3 linked regions of the Caenorhabditis elegans genome follow. The protein of the gene in region 2 interacts with the protein of the main gene of each other region in a pairwise test. Each region holds a gene or a part of one and is shown on either strand. Other genes may lie near its edges.

Region 1 (8,275 bases), on a different chromosome or scaffold from region 2:
CGCGATTTCTTTGCTCATCTCATCAATGTTTGCTTGATTTTGGCCGAGTAGGACGGCTTGATCCTTGAGTTTCTCGCGACTATCAATGAGATCCGCTGATATTGAATCACGTAGATCACGGAGATTTGAAACTTCGCTCTGGAATGGTGAAGATGGTTTTTATGAAGAATTAATACTTTAATAAAAATTAGTTGAAAAAATTGATCTTATGATTCAAATATCGTTATAAACAGGGGGTTTTTATTTTGCTTTAAAAATATCCAAAATAGACTCAAATTCAGAAATACGACAGAATAAATACGATGAAAATAGAGGAAAATTTCAAATATTAATTTTTAGTGTGATTTGACAATTTTGGTTTTTAATTCCCTCCAAAACGAGAAGCCACGCCCGCTTTCGAACCAACCAGAATCTTCGAACGTTACAAACTTTATCTGATTAGTTCAAACGTGGGCGGAGCGAGTCGTTGATTGGTCGCAGTTCTCGCTGTGGAGGAAATTCAAATCATATATTTTAACTATTTTGAGATTTTTTTTCTGTTGTGGTATTTCAGAATGTTAGATTTTTTAAATGCAAAATCTAAAATATCGAATATTCAGAGTTCCTACCTGCAAGAAATCAATTTTTCCTTGCATCATGGCAGTTTGCTCACTATTTCCAGATTCAATTGTCCTTATCTGTTCCATATGTTTCAATCCAATTTCCTCAATTTCAATTTCTCTTTCTTCTTTCATCGCTTGCATTTGTGTCTCCTGTTCCTCTTTCATTCGTTGCTCCAAATGCACAATTGCATATTTCAAATCACTTTGAGCTTCTAACTTCTCTTTTTCAAGCTCCGCAATGAATGTTACTAGAAGATCATCAGATTGTCTTAAGATATTCGCTGCTTTCTCTTTTGTCAATTCTTCCATTGTCTGACATTCAACACTTTCTAGACCACCACTTGGAGCAATTGCTTCTGACTGTGTTCCAGCATTTCTATGCATTTTTGCATGAAATACCAAACTTCGAATTCTTTGTTGTAATTTCTGGATATGAGTTGCTTGATGTGTCTTCATATCAAACATACTTTTCTCTACGTCTCTTGTTCTCTCTCTTTCTTCTCCTAATCCATTTTCAGCTATTCTCCAGAATTGTTGAATTCTTCCTCTTTCCTGTTGAGCTGCATTCAGTTCCACTCTAGTTTTTGTCAATTCTCCACTCAACTTATCAGCTCGATCTTTCAGGCGGTCTTTTGTAATTTGAATTGCGTTTAATTTTTTCTCAACTTCAGCTATCTTTCGGGAATCTGCATTCTGATTCTGGATTGGCTCAACAACTTGGACTTTCTTTTTGGCAGCAGATCCTATTGCAGGTTTTCGACGGGAAGCTGCATTGGTCGATAATGTAGACTAAAATTGTTACAAATTTTTTGATAATATAGTAATTTTAATAGATTTTTGCTTTTGCTTTAACAGCTAAAATTACAAGAAACACAATCCGTAGAAAACTGTTGGTCGACCAAAAAAATTACGATGAAAACTGAAACAAAAAGAACTCCGTCGAACCGGATTCGAACCAGTGACCTAAGGATATCTGCAAACTCTACAGTCCTCCGCTCTACCAACTGAGCTATCGACGGCATGTTTTCGGTCGATGCCGCTGACACACACAAAACTGAAGAATGAGAGAAAACGCGCGCGGAAAGATGGAAGACCGGTTGCCGACAGTTTTCCGTTAAGAGGTGACGGAAAAAGTGTATACCCACAAAAACTGCGTATATTCCGGTTATTTTTCAAGTGTTTTCAGCGGTATTTTGAAAATTAAGCAGCAGAAAAAACTACATGCGCCTTTAAATTGAAGTACTGTAGAGAAAACAAATTGCAAGCCTAAAAACGAAAAAAAAACATTTATTTCGAATATCCCTTTTAATACATACCCTGATAGCTTTGGGTTTCTTCATAACTCGCTTGTTTTGAATATTAGAAGACGTATCACGCGAAGTCCCTGCCGTTTTCATAATTAATAGGAGTGAGCACAGACTGCAAAGAGAGCCCGGAACACAGAAAGAGCTCAGTAAAGCTGCTTTCAATTTCTCAAGGGCAGTTGGAAAGAGTTGGCATGGTAACGGATGTCAATTTGAGCACGCATCAACAGATTTGCGTGCGCGGAAAGCGGATTTTTCAAGAGAATAAGCATATGTTCATAAAACGATTATCGAAAAATTTTTATTTTTAGAAATAAAATGAGAGATTAGACAGCAAGGTTTGGTGGGATTGGAACAATTTCATCTTCATCTTCTTCTTCCGGATTCCACCAACGAACATCCAACTTGCGTCCTTCGAAATCTTCATTGACAGGATCCCAGAGGTTATAATTGAAATTTGGACGTGGAGGTGGATTGAATGGCTTTTCCTGAAACATGAAAAGATATTAAACTCATCTCCAACTCATGTATAAACCGGTTCTGGAATGATGCAGCAAACAGCACTGGCCAAGATCAGGAAACATGCCAACTCGAATAAGATTGCAATCATGTTTCGTATAAACTAAAACTGTTTAATTTCCCTCGAGTATCTAAACTGTTCAAATGTGCTTCTTCAAAAGTTCACGTTTGCAAAAAAAAACATTGATGAAATTAATTACGGAACTTTATTTGGGTTCGATAGACAGGAAAACAATGAATAAAACTGTGGAGGGGCTTTTGGGGAGATCTTCTCGTAACAAATGATAAATTAAATAGGATGTTTAGTCGACCTCCTCCATGCGGGAAGCATCCTCCTCAGCTCCCTCAATCTTGGCCTCAGCGGTGCACGATGATGGAACAGCAGAATCTTCAATTTCGTCATCTCCGATATCGAGACCAAGCTTGATCATTCTGTAGATGCGGGAAGCGTGAGATTGTGGCTCCTCAAGGGAGAATCCGGAAGCGAGAAGAGCAGTCTCGAAAAGAAGAACAACCAAATCCTTAACGGTCTTGTCATTCTTATCGACCTCGACACGATCACGAAGTGTCCTGAAATAGCAAAAACGTTTGTGAATGTTCATTTTAAAATAGTTTTTGGGTAACTTACTTCATGATAGCGTGGTCTGGGTTGATTTCGAGATGCTTCTTGGCGGCCATGTATCCCATAGTAGAGGAATCACGAAGAGCTTGAGCTTTCATGATGCGCTCCATGTTAGCGGACCATCCGTACTCGGAAGTGACAATGCAGCATGGGGAAGAGACAAGACGGTTAGAAACTCCAACCTTCTCAACCTTCTTCTCCAAAATGTCCTTGATGACCTTGCAAAGGTTTTCGTAGGCAACCTTGTCCTCTTCGAACTTCTTCTTCTCCTCCTCGGTTTCTGGGAGCTCGAGTCCTTCCTTGGTGACGGAGACAAGCTTCTTTCCATCATACTCCTTGAGTTGTTGGACGCAGTACTCATCAATTGGGTCGCACATGTAGAGGACTTCGAATCCGCGGCTCTTAACACGCTCGACGAAAGCTGAAGCAGCAACAACATCCTTGGACTCTCCGGTGATGTAGTAGATTTGAGTTTGGTTCTCCTTCATGCGGGAAACGTATTCCTTGAGGGAAGTTGGCTCATCTCCAGCGGAGGTAGAGTAGCGAAGGAAATCGGAAAGCTTCTTGCGGTTAGTAGAGTCCTCGTGGATTCCGAGCTTGAGATTCTTTCCGAATTGCTCGTAGAACTTCTTGAAGTTGTCTTTGTCCTCGGCAACCTCGTCGATAAGCTCCATGCACTTCTTGACAAGATTCTTACGGATGACCTTCAAGATCTTGGATTGCTGGAGCATTTCACGAGAGATGTTAAGTGGAAGATCCTCAGAATCGACGACTCCCTTGATGAAGTTAAGGTATTCTGGCATGAGCTCTTCGCAGTTCTCCATGATGAAGACACGACGAACGTAGAGCTTGATGGAGTTCTTGCTCTTCTTGTTCTCGAAGAGATCAAATGGAGCTCTTTGTGGGACGAAGAGAAGAGCACGGAATTCAAGTTGTCCCTCAACGGAGAAATGCTTGACGGCAAGATGATCTTCCCAGTCATTGGACAAGCTCTGAAATTAATGGAATTATTGCCATAAAATAATTAAAACTAAAAATACCTTGTAGAACTCAGCATATTCTTCGTTGGAGATATCGTCTGGGTTTCTGGTCCAGATTGGCTTGGTCTTGTTAAGCTCTTCGTCTTCGAAGTACTTCTCCTTGATTTTCTTGGTCTTCTTCTTGTCAGCGTCGTCAGCGACGTTCTCGACCTCTCCCTCCTTCTTCTCCTCATCCTTAGCCTCGACAGCCTCCTCATCTTCAACCTCCTTCTCACGCTCCTTCTCAACCACAAGCTTGATTGGGTATCCGATGAACTGAGAATGCTTCTTAACGATCTCCTTGATCTTGCGCTCCTCGAGGAAGTCAATCTGATCCTCCTTGATGTGCATGACAATCTTCGTTCCACGGGTGACCTCTGGGTCATTGAATGGACGAACGACGAAAGAACCTCCTGCGGAAGACTCCCATTGATAGCTGTCATCATCGTTGTTCTTGGATGTGACGACAACCTTATCGGCGACAAGGAAAGCAGAGTAGAATCCGACTCCGAACTGACCAATCATGGAAATATCAGCTCCAGCTTGAAGAGCCTCCATGAAGGCCTTGGTTCCAGACTTGGCAATGGTTCCAAGGTTGTTGACAAGATCGGCCTTGGTCATTCCGATTCCGGTATCCATAATGGTAAGGGTCTTTTCCTCCTTGTTTGGAGTAATTTTGATGAACAATTCCTTTCCAGTGTCAAGCTCGGATGGCTCGGTGAGTGCCTAAAACCGATATTTTAAAAAATTGACTCAGAAGCGAAAAAACAAACCTGGTAGCGAATCTTGTCAAGAGCATCGGAGGCGTTTGAGATCAATTCACGCAAGTAGATTTCCTTGTTACTGTAGAAAGTGTTGATGATCAAGCTCATCAACTGAGCAATCTCAGCCTGGAATGCGAAGGTTTCGGCGTTCTCGGACATGGTTCTGGAAAAATATCAATTAACAATCGAGCAACAAAAACTGAATAGAACTTTATAACGATTCAATGAATGAAAGAGCACGCATGGCGAATGATTTCGAAACTAAAAACACATTATAACCTTATCTAGAAATGAACTAATTTTAGGCCTAAAACTATTGTTCAAAAACCTTTAAAAATCAAAAACAATGATCCGTGATTAACATAAAAGCCATATTAGTGAGAGGAAAACCAAAAATCTTCACCCGAAAACCGAAAGAACTGGGAATATCAGAGCTCTGAGGCGTAATTGAAGGTCTAAATTTTGAACAAGATGCGAAATGTTCTCGAAGGAGGGCGTGGCCTTTCAATTTGATTGGTTGGTTTTCAAATTGCCCTTTTCGGCGGAAAATTCTCGACGAAAATTGTCAATAGAGCGCGTTTTCAGCACCTGGCCGAAGTTTTGCAGAATAGGTAACTAGGCCACAAACATTTTCTTGTTTTTAGTTTGAATTGTTTTTTCTTCATTTTTTTCAGATTACTTCGTCGAAAAGACGTTTTTTTGGTATTTTTGCACCAAAAAAAAATCTAAAATTATTATTCTATATTAAATAAAATCCCGAAATAAACTATATGTCACTCTCAATATTGAACTCGTTGAAAAATATTGCTTTCATTGGTTTTTATTTTATTTTTGCAGTTAATAAAATGTCCCGCGCCGACGAAGGCCGCTTGATTCATTTGGCAAAGAAACGTGAGCGTGAAAAGGAAGATATCGAACAACAATTGCGAAAGCTTGAAGAAGACAAAGAAAAATGTATGGTGAAACCCCTTTTTAATTATTAAAACTACAAATTTTGCAGGCAGGGTCGGAATTACGAATAAATTCATGGCAAACTATGAAACAGTCGAAGAAGTCGTGAAGTCTAAAACCTATGGCTTGGTATCATTGGATGATATGAAAAATATTCAGAAAAACGAAATTTCAAACAGGTTCGATTTTCTACATTTTGGAGAGCCTCACAATAAAAATGTGTACCTTATAGAGATCTACAAGTGGCCCGGGGAGACCAATCATCTTCTACTCAATCTAAAGATTCACAAGAAGCTCGAGAAAAAGAAGAACACGTTGCAAAACATACCCAGGTAAATGTGAAGGATTGCTGTAGAAATTTGGTTGTAGGCTCTAGACTCGGGTAGCAGTTGTAGTTCAATTGACTAGAGATTTCTCGTCGAAAGAGTCTTTTATACCAGATTTCTAAAAATTTGAGAACTTTCGAGAAAGAAAAATTGAGGGCAGGTGAGAGTGTGAGGAAACGCAGATATAAAACATTTTTGTAGAACATTCGAGAAAAACTGTTTTAATATTGCTAATTTCAGAAGCGATTTTTATCGTTTGCATTTGATGACGAAGAGGACGAAGAAGATGCTGCACCAATTATCCCGAAAAAGGTAAGAATAATAATTAAAAAGAAAAAATTAAAGCGAAAAATGTTTGCAGCGCGTTGGAATGGACCCAACTGTCGACACAAGCTTCCTGCCTGATAAAGAACGAGAGGAGTTCTTGAGAAAGTGAGTTCTAGAAGAAAAAACAACGACATTTCAAATTTTGGCGGGTGTAGATCATCCCGGTGAACAAATAAATAAAAAATAATAAGTCTGGTTTCAGAAAGAAAGAATCATTGGCAGCCGAGTGGCGTGTGAAGCAAGATGCCGAGAAAAACGAGGAAATTACAGTTGCCTACGCCTATTGGGATGGATCTTCACATCGGAAAAATATGAAAATCAAGAAAGGAAACACGATTTCGCAATGTCTAGGAAGAGCCATTGAGGTAATAATGAACTTCAGAAAATAAAAAAAAAGTGTTCTATGTATTTATTTTTTTGGAAATTTTTTGAGAAGGCAATTTATGAAATTCGACCGTTTCGGGCAAAAACCCACAAACTTTACTTCCCCTCTAAAATATTTTTTAATTGTTTTTTTTTTTCAACAAATCAAAAAATATTTATAAATATTCATTTTCAGGCTCTGAAAAAGGAATTCACGGAGCTTAAATCGTGCACAGCCGAGAATCTGATGTTCGTCAAAGAGGATCTCATCATACCACATTTCTACACGTTCCAAGACTTTATAGTCACAAAAGCAATGGGAAAGACTGGTCCGCTGTTCGTGTTCGATTCGGCTTCCGATGTTCGTATACGCCAAGATGCTGCACTTGACTATGGAGAATCTCATCCAGCGAAAATAGTACTTCGTAGTTGGTACGAAAAGAATAAGCACATTTATCCGGCGTCACGATGGGAACCATTCGTGCCCAGCAAGAAATACGGTCGTAATTTTGATGATCTCAGTGACTTGTAAATTATTAATCTCATGTTCTACTTTGAATTTGTTCCTGTAAAGTTTTCTGTTTGTTTTTGTGTTGAATTTCGAAACAAAAAATTTATATCAAATCTAAAATTTATATGAAACACTTTTTAAAAATAAGAAAAATTGGAGCAAATTAAAAACAAATAGGTAATCAAATGAGACAATTCATGAACCCGTTTACAACCGCCACTCTTGAAGTTTTTCATCATAAACTGCCGATGGCTTCGAGATACTTTCTGGAGAACTTAACGACATCTTCGATCCACCGTCACCAGCACCACCACACTCCAAAGAATTCGGAATACCATGGATCGGAGAGTATTCCTGTGGCTTTTTCGAATTGCCCATTAAACAAGTGATTCGCATTCCATGGAGAGTATCAACGGAAGCCGTGTGGATTAGCCGATTGCAGCAGAAATATATCGGGAAGCGAAGACAACTGAAAACTTGCTGGTTTTAGATTTTGCACTGAATTTGAATTTCCCATACCTTGCCAAAAGGGTAAAGATTGAAACTATATCATTTAGATAAGAGTACATAGTTGGAAATCCATCCTCGAGGCTCGAACGATTGATGGTCTCCCATACTGTTAGAAAAACCTGAAATACGATATAAGTTTCTCTCTCAAAAAATATATTTTTAGTTTTTACCTGAAGAGATTGCGACAAAAGATAAATGGAGACGAGACTGATTAATGCCCTTGTCGCATCCTTCACATTTCTTCGATGCGATTTCACATTCACCGACTTCCCATTGCTGACAACCGATTCTTTTTGCAATTTCTGCCTCTCATCTTCTTTCACTGCTTTCACGATCATAATGTTCATAGTTAGAAGTACAAGGAACGGAAGGATCCTATCCAAAGTGTTTCTCAATAAGAACATAAAATAGAACCGATAGTTCGGATCCATTGCATATGGTCCTGCGATGATCTCGT
Region 2 (9,114 bases):
CTAATGCCGGTAGCGTTAAAGCGCTTTTGCTGTGTATCCTTAGTTTTTGTGTGCAGTGCGTGTGATTCACCATTGTCTTCGCACTCGCACTTATTACAGTACCCCGTTCATTTCATATGACGGACGTTACTGTATTTTCGCAACTGTACTCCGATGTTATTTGGCTCCGCCTACTCTCTGAAAACCAATAAGTATCGTAGTGCAAAAAATATATCTCTTTCCACACAAAACAAAAAATTTTTCAGTCGCGATACGCGGGATTGCCTCTATCAACATCTAACCAAGTAACTAACAATCGTCGGATGATTCGAATTTTTGGTTAACTTATGTGTTCTTGTGTGTCTTTTTCAGTTTCTCTGTGTGTGTTTTAACGGGATTTGATCTCTCTTCTCAAGTTGCTTTTTGCCAATTCTTATTTGGTTCTGTATGTGTGTATTTTTAAATGTGTTGTGTGTCTAATCAATCTAATAAATTATCTTCACAATTTAATACTTTGCACAAATATTGAAAGAAAAATAAATAGGAAACATTAAGAAAATTAATTTTCAACTGAAGTAAATTAATATTGTCAATTATAGTGTCAGAATTCTTTCTAACCTAGTTAAGCTTGACTTCAATGCCGTCTACGCCTGATGTAGGCGCGCACACCTCATGCTTGCCTATAAAGGCCGCCTGTTTGAAAGTCAATTTTTTTTGAAAGTTAAAATTTTCGCATTTCATGTATCAAGGTTGTGAGGTACACCGACCCAATATGTACTATTCTGTTTCCTGTTCTATTTATTTTCAGACGGAACCCTGTGAAGATCTAACATGGAGATGCCGGTTTTGGTCACTTTTCTCATATTGCCAACGACGAGAGGTTCGAGCAATTATTTGCAGAAAATCGTGCTCAGTGTGCAAATAATTTGGCTTAGTACTCTGTTTTACTGTAACATTAAGCTTCAGATTCCCCAAACTCTTAATACTTTTCAAATATATTCTAGACGGGTTCTTATACTTTTTCAATTAATTGAATCTTGTTTCATTGTTCTCGAGGACAATTTACACAAAACTGAACTTTGCTCTCACCCTCTATGCGTCTCTTCTTCTTCTTATTATCTCTCTCAATTGTCGATTTACGATAAACCACGCCATCTCTGTTATTTTGGAGTCTTGTTATCATATACAGAAATACACAAATATAAATAGTTTATTTACGTGTGAAAATAAGTTCATTTCGATCAAAAAGACATGAGTGGGACGAATCGAGTTGCCGCCAATCTGAACATGTTGTTCACTAATTTGCCATTGCTGCAAAGGTTTGTCTCCGGAATTTCATTTTTTAGTTTTGCTATCGGATATTTGAAAATTTAGCGATGTTGCGCCTTTGAGGATTACTGTAGTTGTCACTTCCCGATATTTCTTGCATTAAAAATTCCAATTGCAACTAAAAATTCTCTGTGTTGGAATTCGAATTTTCATTACTACAGTACTCTTGAAATCCGCACATTTAAAATTGGCTTTGAGATCGGCTACCGTAATTTCGCGGCAAAAATTGTCAAAAAAAAGACTTTACATGCTTCTTCTAAATTTTGCACACAATTTTTTTCAGATACGGAGCAGCCGCCTCCGCGGGTTTCAAGCTTGTCGAAGTGAGCATTCCTTACACGGAGCCAGCCGAAAAACTTCGTGAAGCAGCTGATGAGTATCATCTTAAACATACTTTGATCAATGCACCGCCCGGGAATTGGGATGACGGATTTAGAGGATTGGCTTCTTTGAAATCGGCGAAAAAGGAGTTTAGAAAGAGTTTGGATACTGCGATTGAGTATGCGAAGGCTCTTGGATGTTGTAGGTCAGTTGAGGAAAGAGGGATTTCAAATTAGGAACAATGTGCATTGGATGTGATGTATTGAGTACGTAGTGTCTTTCAAATCTTATTAATACTTCAAACGGTGCAAACTACAGTAATCTAAACAATTTCAGAGTTCACGTAATGGCTGGAATTCCGAAATCGGATGATGACTTGGAAAATGCTCATCAGACCTATTCTGAAAATGTGCGTTTTGCCGCCGAAAAGTTCAAGGAGCACAAGTTGATATGCCTCATTGAACCAATCAATAAGTACACTATTCCTGGATATCACTTAAATAATTATGAAGATGCAATGGATGTGATCCAAATGGATCAATCGAATAATTTGAAAATTCAATATGTAAGTCAATAGAACATAAAACATCGAATTTTATGCACAATTTTTTTTGAAAATAAGAATTCGAAAAGTAACTGTAATTTTTCAGGACACATTCCACGCTCAACAAATCAACGGACAAATTGGAGCAATTATGAGAAAGCTCAAAGATTATATTGGTTAGTTGAAAAGGATGATGATGAAAATAAGCTTACGCCCTATTTTTCTGAAATTACTTTTTCATTCGTCGATTTTTTTCGAGTTTTTCAGGCTATATTCAAGTGGCTCAAGTTCCAAATAGAGGTGCATGTGATACACGCGGAGAAATCGATTATCATTTTATTTTCGATGAAATCCGTTCGATCAATCCATCATGGGTTATTGGTGCTGAATATTTGGATGCAAAGCCTTCATTCAATTGGATTGAGAACATGTCTCTAAGTTTTTGAATTACCTGTCTTTGTAAATTCGCTCCATTGATAATTTTTTTAAAATAACAATACATATTTTTCAAATATATATTATTCATAATAGTAAGTTACAGTATGTTCAAAATACAAAACCCGTGAGTATGGAATGAGACACGTGGCGAGTTGGGGGTGTTTTAGAGAGACTTGGAAAACATACTTAAAAGGGGCGAGCTTGGGAAGAAAAACAGTAGTGTACGCAAATTGTCGTATTTAGAGCATGGTGTGATTTTAAGAGTCTAATACAGAAATATTATGAAGGTAGAAATAGAAAATTAGAAAATTCGTTGTGTGTTTCAATATTCACAAGAAAGGGTTTCATTTCTAAAGCACCGTGCCTTACGAACTTCACGACAATGTACTGCGCTTCTTCTCAAAATCAGCCCTGATAAAAAATTAATTAAGCAAAAGAAGGCAGGAAGAAATGGAAAGAAAATGAGAAGATCATGATGATAGATGCTGTGCGGGGTATCATAAGAAGAGAGATCGTTCACGGGTATCGTTGATAGTTAACATTCTGACGGTTTGGATTTGACACTGTCTGAGCTAGATAGTGTTGTTGTGATTGATGACGTTGTTGAGGGTCTGATGAAGAGCTGACACGTGGATGGTGATGATGATGGTGATGGGAATTGTGATGAGGAGCCTGTGTCACTGGAGACTGCCAATATGGATTGTATGCAGGTCGTGGAGATTGTACTGTTGATCTTGTTGGAAGAGGTCGATACGTTGGATAAGGATTCGCTGGATTTTGAGGACGATTGTACCGAGTTTGAGTAGATGCTTGTTGCTGCTGTTGTTGTTGATAACGACGTCGGAGTTCTTCTTCACGAAGACTTTTGAGCTCTTGGCGACGGGCTCTGAAATACGTTTGATAATTGGTATAGATCTAGGAAAGTCACACGTGGAATCATCATAAATGTTTCAAATAGTTTTGTGCTACCTGGCATTGAATTTATTTTTGCCGCTCAAAAACTGAAACGGAACGATACCCAAAAAAAGCCATTTCAGTCTGGCTTCAAATCTTAAAAACCAAAAAAATGTTCTGCTATTTTTCAATACTTTCATAATAATTCTCAGTTCTCTGCGCTTTCTTTTTCTCAGAATAATAACTAACTCTCTAATTTGTTCCTCTTTTCTTAATCGATCTTCTCTCCTTCGTTTCTTCTTTTCTCTTCGTCTTTTCTTTTCTTCTAATAATCTTTGCTTCTCAGCTTGGTTCGTCATTTCCACTTTTGCTCGTAAACTACAAAAATTTCATTAGCTCTAATCTGATACTTTTGATATAAATGCTTACTTTGAAATACGATGTGGATTTGGTGGTTTTGTAACGGTCTGCTGTCGGAATAATGGATGACTGGGAGGTTGGTGAAAGAGTGAAGCAACTACCAGATCGGTTACGTCCTGAAAATCAAAAAGTTGAAACTGTATGTCTCGAAAAAACTCACATTTCCATTTGGAACGGGACTTCGTAACCGGTCAAGATCGTGATGAACAACTAGAAAATGGCTCGCCTGAAATATACGGATAATGTATTTCAATCAAAAAAAAGTGCACACGGATTTCTTTATGTATCTAGCTACAGTAGCCGCGAGTACGGTAGGAACTTATTGAAACGAGAGAAAAGTTAATGTACATATCAGGAAATATTCGCTCGTTCCAGACCTCGAGCTTCTAATTTTTGGTAAAAACCACATTTTCTTGCGAACATATGCTCGAAAATATACTTTAATCGGGTTTTAAAAATTATTTTTCTAAAATGTAATAATATCTCCGATACGAGCTGTCAAAGCAGAATGAGTATATATTTCACTTACTTTCCGACGTTTTTTTGAATTAGGACCTCTCCTTGGTTTTCCACTCCGTCGTAATTCAATATACCAGGGATTAAACCTGTCACCATAAGCACAAGACGCATATAAATTGTAATAATTTTCCATCATTTCTTCGAGAAAAACGCATTCTGTTGAATAATTAGATGATGGTGTTGCATATAATTTCCCCGATGGATCCATACAAATGAAATTCTTTGTTTCAACTCCTCGAATCGATACAAGACTCATTGCCACTGACACAAACTCCACTATACTGAATTTGGAACTCTCCTCTTTTGTTCCATGAACTTTGACACGTGTCGATCCATCGTCAGGATTTTCGATAGGAAGCATCTCCAACCAGGTTCCCGAACGACAAAACAGGGCTCCGCGGCGACGGCTGGAAGTAGAAATTAGTCAAAAACGCAATGCCTTTGAAATCATTGGCAAGTTTTAATTTTTGATCATGATCACTTCGATTAAAAAAATGTTTTTTGTTGTTTTTGATAAATTGTCGTTGCCCTGTGAAAGAAAACAAATTTCAAGAATTGAGTAAAAAATCCGAGATCCCTTGTTACAAAAAGTTTGAAAAGCTTAAAAACTCACTCATCAGCAGGTGGATACCCATTTTCTTCTTCATCTTGTAGTTGTTTCTGGAAACCATTTTCAAGTTTACAACTGTATCTCTAATTTCAAACTCACTCTGATCCGGTCCACTCGATACGGAGCACATGAATTTATACGATCGGTTACAAAATTTGAATTATAGAATCCCTGAAAATTTATTTCTAAGTTTCAGTTCATATCTTAACTTTGAAAAAGTAATCAATTTGTGGGAGAAAAAAACATTATCCTAGATTTTCTAGTGTGCTATAATTTTTTCCAAAAAACATAGAGGTGTCAGATTCTTAAGTTACTGTATGAATATTTCAATTTTTGGTTTTTTCACATTTTGAGTACATATAGCTTGAACTTCCAAACGTTCTTAATTCAAAAAAAAATTAAAAAATTAAACATTTATGGTTAAAAGAAGTAAACTTACCGCAAGAAAAGGTGTAACTGGTGTTGTCAAAAAGTTAGAAGTGGCTGCTCCTCCGTATGAAACTATCGATGAGGCGGCAGGAACGGCCATATATTCATCTGAACATTTGAAGAAATTGTAATGATTTGGAAATATTGAAGAACGAGGAAGTAAGAGTCAATAAATGAGAAAAAGGGCAAGTACAGAGATTCGGGAGCAAACAATCTTCACCTCCGCCTCCACTCCTTTTCTGGCACGAGTTTGCACTCAGGCTCAGTTGGGAGAAGGCTCAGGCTTTCTTGCAAAATGGAAAATTGTGATGAAAAAAAAACAAATAGAACGGTAAGATTGGAATGAAGGAATGCAACAATGAAAGAGAGTCTATTGAGAAAACAGATAAATAGAAACAGATCACAATGACCAAGTTCAATAAGATGCAAAATAGAGTTTAGAGTTTGTTCGGGGGCATTAGAAGTATCTTTGAATAAAAACTTTAAAAAGAAAGAAGATTATTAATATTCTATCTTTATATTTGGAAAAAAGTAGTATACTACTAATTTAAAATCCGATAATCATACAACAAGTTCAAAAATTTATAACATTACAAATTTTTTATAAGAAAGTGATTAAGAATTTTGAGAAATATGAAAGTATTTTTTGTAATCTAGTTTTTGTGAAAAGCCACATATTTTGCTTGCAAATTTCCAAAATGTTTATTTTTCCCAAAAAAGTTGTTGCTCAACTTTAAATGTCTTATGGTTCACTCAACAGATTTTAGAGTAGGTAAGAGGCAGGTGTAGGCTCTGCATTTAGGAGTTTTTGTGTATCTGTGGAAAATTTCAACAACGGTTTTTTTTTCCGAGAAAACATATGTAGTTTTGGCAAAGTGATTTGAACCGATTGAATCATCACAAATTTTCACAAGTGACGACAAAGTTTTGAGATCATATTTACACAGTTGTTCATAACATTTGTTCAAAATAAAAACACAAAAAAAAACTTCAAAAAAGGAGGAAAAATAGATCAAAATAAATGAAAAGAGCATCAAAATGTGTAGGATCTCTAGGCTATAACAGAAAAATACCATTTTGGAAAAATGCCAATTTGTAGAGATTCCCAGAATAGTGTCATATTTGTAAATAAAAAACATCCCCCGCAAACAATACTCTTCCGAAAATGAATGAAATTTGAGCTAATAAAGTATGATGCATTTGGAAAAATAGTAGAAAGCGATACTATTCTGAGGAACTAAGAATGACGTTCGATAAAAAATGAGCAGAAATAACACATAATAATATGGTTCAAATTTATAGCAAACATGAAATTACGAATTCCATGGTAAGTTAAGAATTATTCACATTTTCACGTATGTGGAGATGGATATGTGAAAAGTAGATGATTAGTTTGACAAAAGTAAGTTTGGAAAAAAATAAGTGTTTTTTTGGAATACTGGAATGAAGTAAATTTATATTGTCTTACTGTTAGAAAAATGAAAACATGTTAAAAAATGCTTAATTGAAAAAAAGCATAAACCGAATACGGTATTTCATGAATAGGTATACGGAACAGTCGTGGCAAGACCCATTTATGAGAATCTAGAAATATATTTAAATGTCTGAGTGTGAAAACTTGAAAACTAAAATCCTATAGTACCCGAAAAATCATATGACAGAAGAAAGATCAAGAAAAATATGAGTAATAGTTGATGTAGGAAAAAGAAAGAAATCGAGGATGAAACGTGTGAGATAATAATTGATAATCAATGAGGATACAAAGACTCTTTCTCTCTCACTCTCGTAGTCCGAATCCCGCGCGTCTTAGTCCGTCTGAGAAGATGATAATGGTGAATGAAGAGACGACAGATTATCAACGAGACAGTTGGCTTCTTCTTCTTATTCAAAAGAGCTCCCGTCCTCTATGTTTTATCATCATCATCATTATCACAAAACGACTGATCTTCAAGTGAAACACGAAGAAACTGCTCTCAGGGATTGGGTTACCGAATGAGAGGGTGTTTCACTCAACAACACAATTGCTCTCTCTTGCAAAATTTTTTTGAGGGGATCAAGTTGGTAGATGATGATTGAGAATTGACACGGATTCATCGGACACATTCTGACATTCCCGATAACGAGCTAACTGAATGTGATGGTGTGAGGGAGGATGAAATGAACACGAAGAGAGGACAAACATTGGGGTCATTTTGAATTACGTGTGAAAGGTATGTCTAGACGATTTGTGTTTGAGGTTATGTCAACTGTGGTATTGAGTTTGATCAACTGGACTTCAAAAGTGTCAAAACTTTACAGAAAGTTCACACAGTTTCTTGATCCTTAATAAGAACAACAATTTTTTTAAAGTCATAACCGGACTAGAAGCTTAAAACGGTTCAGAAAATAAATAGATTTGTTTTACCATCTATGGTACTTTCAAATTTGGAAAACAATAGAAAAGCAGAAAAGTGGCATTCAATTTTTACCTATCATACTTGTCCTTTCACAACACTTTTGTTCTTATTTGACACCTTCTATCTCGGCAGTCTTTGGGTTTATCAAATCATTTTAACAACAAAAAATTTTTTTCAATTATTTTTCAATCTTTTTAGTTGAACAATATTTGATGAAGCCTCGAACAAAAGCTTCCGTAAAATATGTCAGATATGGGCGGGGCCTAGTTTGGGGTAAAATTTGCGAAAATTAAAAGACTCAAACTTTTTTGAAAAATTTTGTTTTGTCGCGTTTTTGAGTTACATTTTCTGCTTCATCTCAGAATTTGTTTTCAGTTTTTTTCAGTATTATGACTGAGCAAAACAAGCCAAGACCGAAATCCAAAAAATTATGAAGAAACCTAGTTTGAATAAATTGTCAAAAGATCGTTGAAACACTTTTTCATGTAGTTTTTATCGAGAATCCGCTTAGTGACGTCTTCTTGCAAGAACCGTGACGTCCGTCCGACATAACTAGAAATAAATCTACTTTTCTTTTTTGGTGTGTTCTTTGTCACCCCGTTGGACCCTTCATCAGTGCTTTCAATCTTTCTAATAACTCCCTAAAGACCTTTGGTGACTTTAGTATCCAGAACACCCAAGGACAATCAGGCACACGCAGAAAAAGTATAGTTTGTCAGAAGTAACCTACCGGATAAATATAATTGACATGAACTGACAAGGATCCTTGTTTACCAGGAAAACACCGTACACAAAAAATACACCTCTGATCAGTCGGGATCACAAACGAACAAGTTGTAAAAAGTTGTCAAGAAAAAAGATATGGATGAGGGGAGAAAGGGGTGAGGGAGGACTTGGTGTAAAGTTGAGATGGCTCCCGGAGCCCCGGGCACTGGGAAAAGGGAGGCGACCAAAAATGTTCAGAAGACGTCAGAATTATAAGAAGAGAAGGAAAGTGAATAAGTCATTGGGGTAGTTACATTGTTAATTCTGTTGATTTTGAGAGAACAATTGGGGTTTAAAGGGTTAAACGCTGAAATAAATTTCACAAAATATTCAAACTTCTTTCTTTCTCCGAGCATTTCAAAAAATTGTTTACAAAAAGTGTTTAGGTGGGTCATTTTGGGAAGAGCAGAAAGTTGAGGAGTTGTCCTCTGAGCCCATGTTCTGCAAATGGTGCTCCGACATTTTCTTGG
Region 3 (7,319 bases), on a different chromosome or scaffold from region 2:
AGATTTTCTAATGAAAACCATTTAGTGAAAAAGTTAGTTATCTATTCAGTTGAGGAATTAATAACTCAAAGTGATTCTGGGATGTATATACAATACTGCTGCATTTCTCACAACTTTATCTCGACCACCAATTTTTTTTGATGAAAAACCATCAACTAAAAAGTTGTACTTCAGATTAAAATAATCAACTTTGTAGTTGACAACTTTGCCATAAAATTTTTTCCACGGAGATGTAAGCATCCAAAGTGAACTCGATTTTGGAACATGTTCAACTATACCTCAGGTTTTTGACTGAAATTGTGTTCTGAACATCCAAAGTTTTTTTCAGAAAATTTAAATTTCCCGCCAAAATGTTTTTTATTCAGAAAATTTAAGTTTCCCGCCAAAAAAGTATTCTTCAGAAAAGTTGAATTTCCCGCCAAAATGTTTTTTAGAAAATTTGAATTTCCCGCTAAAATGACTTTTTCAGAAAATTTAAACTTCCCGCCAAAATTATTCTCAGGAAATTTGAATTTTTCGCCAGAAGGTCTCACCACGATGTGTCTACAGTATAAAATCTACAGTAATCCTACAGTACTCCTACAGTACCTCTACAGTACCTCTACAGTACTACTACAGCACCCCGACCATGTCACTCCATTAACCCTAAACCAATATCCCTTTACCAACCGTGGACCGCACCTCCGGCGCGGCCCCCGACTTCTGGAGCTGAAAAGTAATTTTTCTGAAACTACCGTAATCATACAGTACTCCTACCGTATCACTATTGTAATACTACAGTACTCCGATTATATCTGTACACTAACCCCAACTCACAATCCCTCCAGAAGCTAAAACTTCGCAGACTATAAAGACTACATACAAACTATGAACAAACGGAATAAGCGCTTTGTATATATAGTAAATGATAATCCAAAACTTTGCACACTACAAAGCCTGCATACACTACAAACTCCGGAGTCCGGACAGACTAACTGTATTTTTTTAAAATATAAGCAATAATGATGCTGAGCATCAAAGGGATTGAGCCATCGTTAGGGATTGAGCGTTCAAGTGAAGGAGCACGCTAGTAAATGAGGGTTTGCCCCGAACCGACGCCACCCACCGAAGAAGACGACCTGGACTTCAAGTCCTCTCCACCCTCATTACCACCATCACTCGCTCCTACTTCAAAAAATGAATGCGTTTCAGCATATTCCCTTGTTTTCTCAAGAAAAAATCATAAGAAACATGTTTTTTCACTGCGAAAAAAAATTGAATATCCAGAAAAATTTCAATTATCAGCCTCTTCTCCTTCTTTTCCGTCGACACGCTGCTCGTGAGTACTCTTCAATAGATCGTAAAGTGTACGAGCACGTTTCAAGTTCGAGATATCGTACGAATCCAGTGAGCTCTTCATCTTCTCCAATTCGCGATGAGCACTATCAAGAGCACTCTGTGCAATTTCGTTGGCTTCTTTGGGAAGATTCAGGACATCGAAGTTTAAGGCGCTTGCATTGAGGGCAAGTCCAAGGCGAATTGGGTGAGTTGGCTGCATCTTGTCCTTAGCGATACCAAGAGCCTCCTGAAAGTCATTTCATTTACATCAAGAATTTAGTTATTCAAATACCTGATAAGCGATTCGCGACTTGTGTGCATGCTCTTCTCTGTTGATATCGTCGTATTGGACCAGATACCTAAAATGGTCGGCGACCATGCCACCGAAGAGAGCCTTAGTTTCATCATTTAGCGCATAGTCTCAAGCCAAACAGGCGGGGCAGTTCAAAAATAGTTTGATATATAGTTTGATATAGTTTGATGAATAGTGGCGTGGAGTACGGTTTCGCGGCAATTCAAATACTACTATTCTTGAGACCAGACGAATCGGACGATTAACGGCGGCGAGGGATTCGGATCGGGGGAACCCAATCTGTGGGACGGGCCACGCCCACGATCAAATTTTGCAACCTCCGCACGGTTCTATGGGCGTGGCCAATCCCCCGATGTCAACAAATTTTAAAAAAAACCTTCCCCGATTTTATAAATATTTCAGCTTGAAATCGCGATGTTCATTTGCGAACTCGAGGCATTTTCGAAACGTTAAATGTTCCCGCGCAATAATGCTCCGCTGAACAGTGCACGCTTTTTGTGTAGATTCATTTAAATATTCATTTTCCGTCAGATTTCATGTAGAAACCCAAAGATTCGCTCATTTCGCTGCTCGATCTTTTCTTTTTCTTCATTCAACCGTATATTATATGCATTTTTCGTTTAAACGTTTTTCAAAAATTTTTAAAAATTGCTTACAATCTTCTTTGTAAAAAGAATATATTTTGCAACCAATTTTTTCGATTCTCCATGGAAAACTTATCAATTTAAACTGCATTCACTGTTACACTGATAATGCTTTGAACGACGGCGGTCGGAGAACTTCCAACCGATTACTGTTCTCCAATTTCATGTTTCTAGAAAAAAAGAAATTTCTGTCGTTTCATAACATGTTTTAACACGCAGAGCCTTTTTTTTTCGAATGAACCGCCATTTTCTTTAAAGGCGCAAGCTATTCCCTCTGCGCGATATTTCGCCGCGAAAAAAGAAGCCCCGCGAAAAAACGTATTCGAACCGCGGAATTTCCGCGAATTTGTTGCTGGTTTCTTCTAGAATTCAACGATTCAATGCTCATTTCATCACAATTTTTTTTTGTAAAATTATCCTTCTCGCTTTTATGCTCCTCTTGCCCTCAATTTTCTGTCTAAAAGCTATCATTTCCTCTGATTTCTTCCTCGATTTTCAAATGTTGGCCCAAAATAGTGATTTTTTCTTTAATTATATCCTAATCCCCACCAACACGATTTAGCAATTCTCGAAAATTATTTTTTTGCGTTGTTCAGGTAAAAGTCCTGACGAAACCTCCTGAGTTTTGTGTAACGTGCTCACCGAAAGATTAGTGTGCTTGCTGCGCCCGTTGTCACCACTGCCATTCATCCTTCTATTCCCGTGTTTTCTTATCAAATGCCCAAAAAATCTGAAATTTTTTGTGTAGACAATGCTATATATGAGGAGCGAATGTGTGCGCCAGAGAAAAAGACGGACAGACACAAATTGAGTGAGTGTGCGTTGCCCACTTTAGTTGTTGTCATGCGACGGCGGCGGCACGCGCTCTCTCATCGGCCGGCACTGCTGTCCATCGATTTTTCTTCTTTCAAACGTCGTGCGGGCTGTTTCGAATGTTCTAGGGCTCTCCGTTTCGATTATTACTCTCGCCTATGTTCTTCTCTTTTCGTTCTCAATATTTCATTATAAATTTTGTTTCAGAAGACTTGCTCACTGAAAAAATGTCCGATACCGTGGAAGAGCTCGTTCAACGCGCCAAGCTTGCCGAACAAGCCGAGCGATACGATGATATGGCTGCCGCCATGAAGAAAGTAAGATAAAACATCATTTACGGAGGTTTCAAATTTACTATTTTTCAGGTGACCGAGCAGGGACAGGAGCTTTCCAACGAAGAGCGTAACCTTCTCTCTGTTGCCTACAAAAACGTCGTCGGAGCTCGCCGTTCATCGTGGAGAGTTATCTCTTCCATTGAGCAAAAGACCGAGGGATCCGAGAAGAAGCAACAACTCGCCAAGGAATACCGCGTCAAGGTAACTACACCAAGCAAGATTTTATTAATTTCAAGAATTTTAGTAACTTATTTACATTATTTCAGGTTGAGCAAGAACTCAACGACATCTGCCAAGATGTGCTCAAGCTCCTCGACGAGTTCCTCATTGTCAAGGCTGGAGCTGCTGAGTCGAAGGTCTTCTATCTCAAGATGAAAGGAGATTACTACAGATACCTCGCCGAGGTCGCTTCAGAGGATCGCGCTGCCGTTGTTGAGAAGTCCCAGAAGGCTTACCAGGTATTTGAAAATAACTAAATTCTTGATGTAAATGGCATGACTTTCAGGAGGCTCTTGATATCGCTAAGGACAAGATGCAGCCAACCCACCCAATTCGCCTTGGACTTGCCCTCAACTTCTCTGTCTTCTACTACGAGATCTTGAACACTCCAGAGCACGCTTGCCAACTCGCGAAACAGGCTTTCGATGATGCTATTGCTGAGCTCGACACGTTGAACGAGGATTCGTACAAGGACTCGACCTTGATCATGCAACTTCTACGTGACAATCTCACTCTCTGGACATCTGACGTTGGAGCTGAAGATCAAGAGCAGGAGGGAAACCAGGAAGCTGGAAACTAAGTACGATTTCAAAATGTTTTATTGCCATTATATAAAGCTGACCTTTTTCCTCTTTTCCTTTCACATCAAATCTTGCTTCGAAAAAATAGTTTCGGTTTTCAGAGAGCTGAACTCCGTTCTCTTTCCTCGCATCTCTTCAACTTTCAGTTATCCTCCAACATTTCCGGTACGTTAGCCGAGAGAGTTGCCTAATCACCGTTTTTGTTTTAGACTTAACGTATTCACCAATACTCCATACAACACTGCGCAATAGCATCATGAAAGAAAATTCGGTCTTCAAGTGCTCTAGATCTCCAAGCCATAATTCTCTTCATGCTCTATTTCGCTGTAATTCACTCCGTCACTATTGTCATTCCTAAAATGGCGTATTGTTCTATGATTATTATGTGCTGTAAAGTATAATGAACCCCCATCTTCCATTTTTCTCTTATTATCCCCGATCTTTATTTTTAGATCTTTTTGAACATAAATGTTTGGTGAACTTTTCCGGTTGTCCGAATTTCATCACAACTTTCCAGGAGTTTTTCGAGTAATGGAATGGAATTTATTTTCAGATTTCGATGAAGGAGCATAAATAGGATAAAACATTTGCATTAACCTCTTAGAAGGTCTCAACACGAAAAATTAAATGAAATGTGAAAAAGTGTGCGCCTTTAAGCTGCCGAAAATTTTTTGATAGTTTCTTCCACGATTCGTTAAAAATTAAGTGTTTTATGGTAACATTTGAGTGTTCTTTTGAAAATAAATATATTCTTTGTCGAAAAACTATGAAACATCGATAAAAATTCCGCAGCAATAGAAGTTTAAAATTACAGTACTCTTTAAAGACTCACACCTTTTTGCGTTCAACAAATATTAGACGTGTCGAGACTAAGTACCGTACTTTTGGCGCAAAAAGCTCAAAATTTCGCTCCTGGGCAATATAATTTTCGGAAAAAAACTTAATTCTGGAGACTTCATGTGTTTTCACAGATCATGACGAGACCGATTGAGAAACATTTGGAAATACATTTTTCTTCAATATATCTTCAAAGTGGCCGATTGTATGTGATCATACGGAATAACGATGGATGTGTTTTGTGCTTTTCGGCAGATTTCGAGCTTTTGAGCCAACAATTTTCAGCGTTGTGGATGAAAAAACATGTCACGTTGTTTAATCAATTTAAAATCTTTAAAATGTAATGACTATTTTTATGGACTGCGCAGTTGCCCCATGTTGAAAAAAGATGTCAATTGCAATTACATTTTATTTTCCGTATAAGTTAAATTCAATAACCCAAAGTTCAAAAAAGTACTATTTATGAGTATTATCACGTGGTGTCAGAATGTCCCATGTCGGTTTGAACTTCGAAATATGCGGGAGTTGAGACGTAGACTGACGTCACATTTTTCTGAGAAAAAGTTATCCGCATTTTTGTAGATCATACCGTTATGGGGCAACCTGACACCACGTGTCTTATTCGAGATCCATATTTGAGTGAACACCCGGATAAGCTGGTAATCGTCTTTTCTTTTCAATTATGTGAACACTGATATGAATAATTTATTAAATAATTAATTGATTGAAGTTTCGCAGGGAAGCTGAGGCTTGCTGAGCTCTAATTCAGCGTTCAACACAAAGTCGGCTGGTTCTGAACGAGCTAGGAGAACATAGACTGTGTTGGCTACTGTAAGTGTTAAAGCATGGATCAGGAAGTAGCTGGTCCATGAGAGTTCAGCTGAAAGTGTTGAAAAAGGTTTAGTTTAGAAAGAGAATGAATTGATACTTACAATCTTCACTTCCCGGAAGCACAAGAAGAGAAAAAAGAACAGGTTCGAGCAGTGTTGCTAACGATTTGAACAATTGAATATACCCGATGACAAAGTAAGAGAATTGTCTGAAAATGTTCATTCTTGAAATTTCAAATTAATTTTTAAATCGCCTTACCTTGATATCAAAGCGGCGCCCTTATAGAATCCTCCACAATTGAACCCGAATGAAGCCTGATAGAAAGTGATGCAGATGACGTGTAGATATGGATGCTCGCGTGGCAGCAAGACTACGAGCATGAGAAAAAACGCGGGTACTTGCAATGAGATCGTGTTGAATAACCGCAACTTTGACTTTTCCGGCAGTGTACGAATACGATCGGACGCGATACCGGCGAATACTCGAACACCGATGAATAGATAACCTTTCATGGAATTCAGCCATGCATTAGCCTGGAAATTCACAAAATTGAGGGCAAATATCGGTGCAATATCGGTCTTTATTGCAATTTCGTGAAATTTTGACATGGCACTTTAAAGGCACACGCTGTTTTTCTCAGTGGGTCTCGCCACGCTCTCAACCATTGTAGTCGCTACAGGTACCAAATGTCATAGAATTGTTCATTGGATGTGGAAAATTAAGTTTGCCCCGACGTGCCTGAACACAAATTTACCTGAATATCCATTCCGAGGTATTGATAGTATTGTGCACCATATACAAGAAATACAAAACTGGCAAAAATATCGGCGAACCCGGCAACCCACACGGCCCAAACTGACTTGTCGGTGAGAACTTCTCGATACGGAGTCTTTTTTGTCTTATCTCTCTTGGTTCCTCCACCAATGTGTTGAAGCTCGTGATGTGTCATTAGGCAATGATCTTCCGGATCGTCACGATAGAACAAGAACCAGATGATTGTTGAGATGAAGAGAATTATTGAGAGAATATAATAGATAGGTCGCCAGCCAACATTTGATGTTGTCTGAAATATTATGAATTTTAAATATACCGTCTCAGTGCAATAACCTACCCATCCTGCCAGTGGCAACTGAATTACAGCTCTTGCCGCAGTGAATCCACTCAACGCAGCCAGTGACATTCCTACTTCTTTGATAGGCGACCACTTTGAGCACACGTATCCGACAACTCCAAAGTCAGCAGAGTAGAGGATTCCTTGGAATATCCTGAATACAAGTGCTACATGGTAGTTCGTGTCAAGAGCCCATGGCATGAAGGCAGTGACGACGGCACAGAGCAAACTGGCAAATGTGAGGACAAGACGGGGTCCATATTTTTGCATTAGCACATTCTGAGGATACATTCCAATGAGTGAACCAATTGCCATCGC

The links. Proteins that work in one complex are often made in the same cells at the same time.
Region 1: the proteins of let-756 (region 2) and hsp-90 interact in binary tests that used the Caenorhabditis elegans proteins (3 or more experiments, as listed by UniProt).
Region 3: the proteins of let-756 (region 2) and par-5 interact in binary tests that used the Caenorhabditis elegans proteins (3 or more experiments, as listed by UniProt).

The regions. Positions count from the first base shown.
Region 1 is NC_003283.11:14,682,878-14,691,152, reverse strand, and holds hsp-90 (Heat shock protein 90), read right to left. Parts: upstream 4,994-8,275; 5' UTR 4,990-4,993; coding exon 4,840-4,989; intron 4,793-4,839; coding exon 4,088-4,792; intron 4,040-4,087; coding exon 3,054-4,039; intron 2,996-3,053; coding exon 2,728-2,995; 3' UTR 2,614-2,727; downstream 1-2,613. Other genes in the region: gasr-8 (uncharacterized protein), read right to left, coding at 1-138, 609-1,391, 1,919-1,999; C47E8.11 (uncharacterized protein), read right to left, coding at 2,233-2,394, 2,442-2,516; C47E8.4 (Protein FAM50 homolog), read left to right, coding at 5,676-5,784, 5,831-5,960, 6,014-6,113, 6,348-6,419, 6,469-6,539, 6,637-6,799, 6,994-7,329; C47E8.3 (G-protein coupled receptors family 1 profile domain-containing protein), read right to left, coding at 7,516-7,777, 7,828-7,937, 7,989-8,275. UniProt on the Caenorhabditis elegans protein: Molecular chaperone that promotes the maturation, structural maintenance and proper regulation of specific target proteins involved for instance in cell cycle control and signal transduction. Undergoes a functional cycle that is linked to its ATPase activity.
Region 2 is NC_003281.10:6,403,606-6,412,719, reverse strand, and holds let-756 (Protein let-756), read right to left. Parts: upstream 5,592-9,114; 5' UTR 5,584-5,591; coding exon 5,494-5,583; intron 5,226-5,493; coding exon 5,154-5,225; intron 5,105-5,153; coding exon 5,058-5,104; intron 4,852-5,057; coding exon 4,455-4,851; intron 4,152-4,454; coding exon 4,086-4,151; intron 4,042-4,085; coding exon 3,935-4,041; intron 3,884-3,934; coding exon 3,755-3,883; intron 3,498-3,754; coding exon 3,128-3,497; 3' UTR 2,687-3,127; downstream 1-2,686. Other genes in the region: nas-4 (Metalloendopeptidase), read left to right, coding at 246-284, 788-904; C05D11.5 (Putative hydroxypyruvate isomerase), read left to right, coding at 1,231-1,298, 1,592-1,834, 1,966-2,194, 2,280-2,349, 2,441-2,619. UniProt on the Caenorhabditis elegans protein: Required for larval development. Probably by binding receptor egl-15, negatively regulates membrane protrusion from body wall muscles during larval development.
Region 3 is NC_003282.8:11,817,893-11,825,211, reverse strand, and holds par-5 (14-3-3-like protein 1), read left to right. Parts: upstream 1-3,294; 5' UTR 3,295-3,314; coding exon 3,315-3,404; intron 3,405-3,452; coding exon 3,453-3,623; intron 3,624-3,688; coding exon 3,689-3,880; intron 3,881-3,927; coding exon 3,928-4,221; intron 4,222-4,323; 3' UTR 4,324-4,387; intron 4,388-4,431; 3' UTR 4,432-4,706; downstream 4,707-7,319. Other genes in the region: M117.3 (14-3-3 domain-containing protein), read right to left, coding at 1,274-1,564, 1,610-1,696; M117.1 (Major facilitator superfamily (MFS) profile domain-containing protein), read right to left, coding at 5,776-5,939, 5,992-6,098, 6,149-6,423, 6,645-6,953, 7,002-7,319. UniProt on the Caenorhabditis elegans protein: Required to modulate lifespan, in concert with hcf-1, acting redundantly with 14-3-3-like protein ftt-2.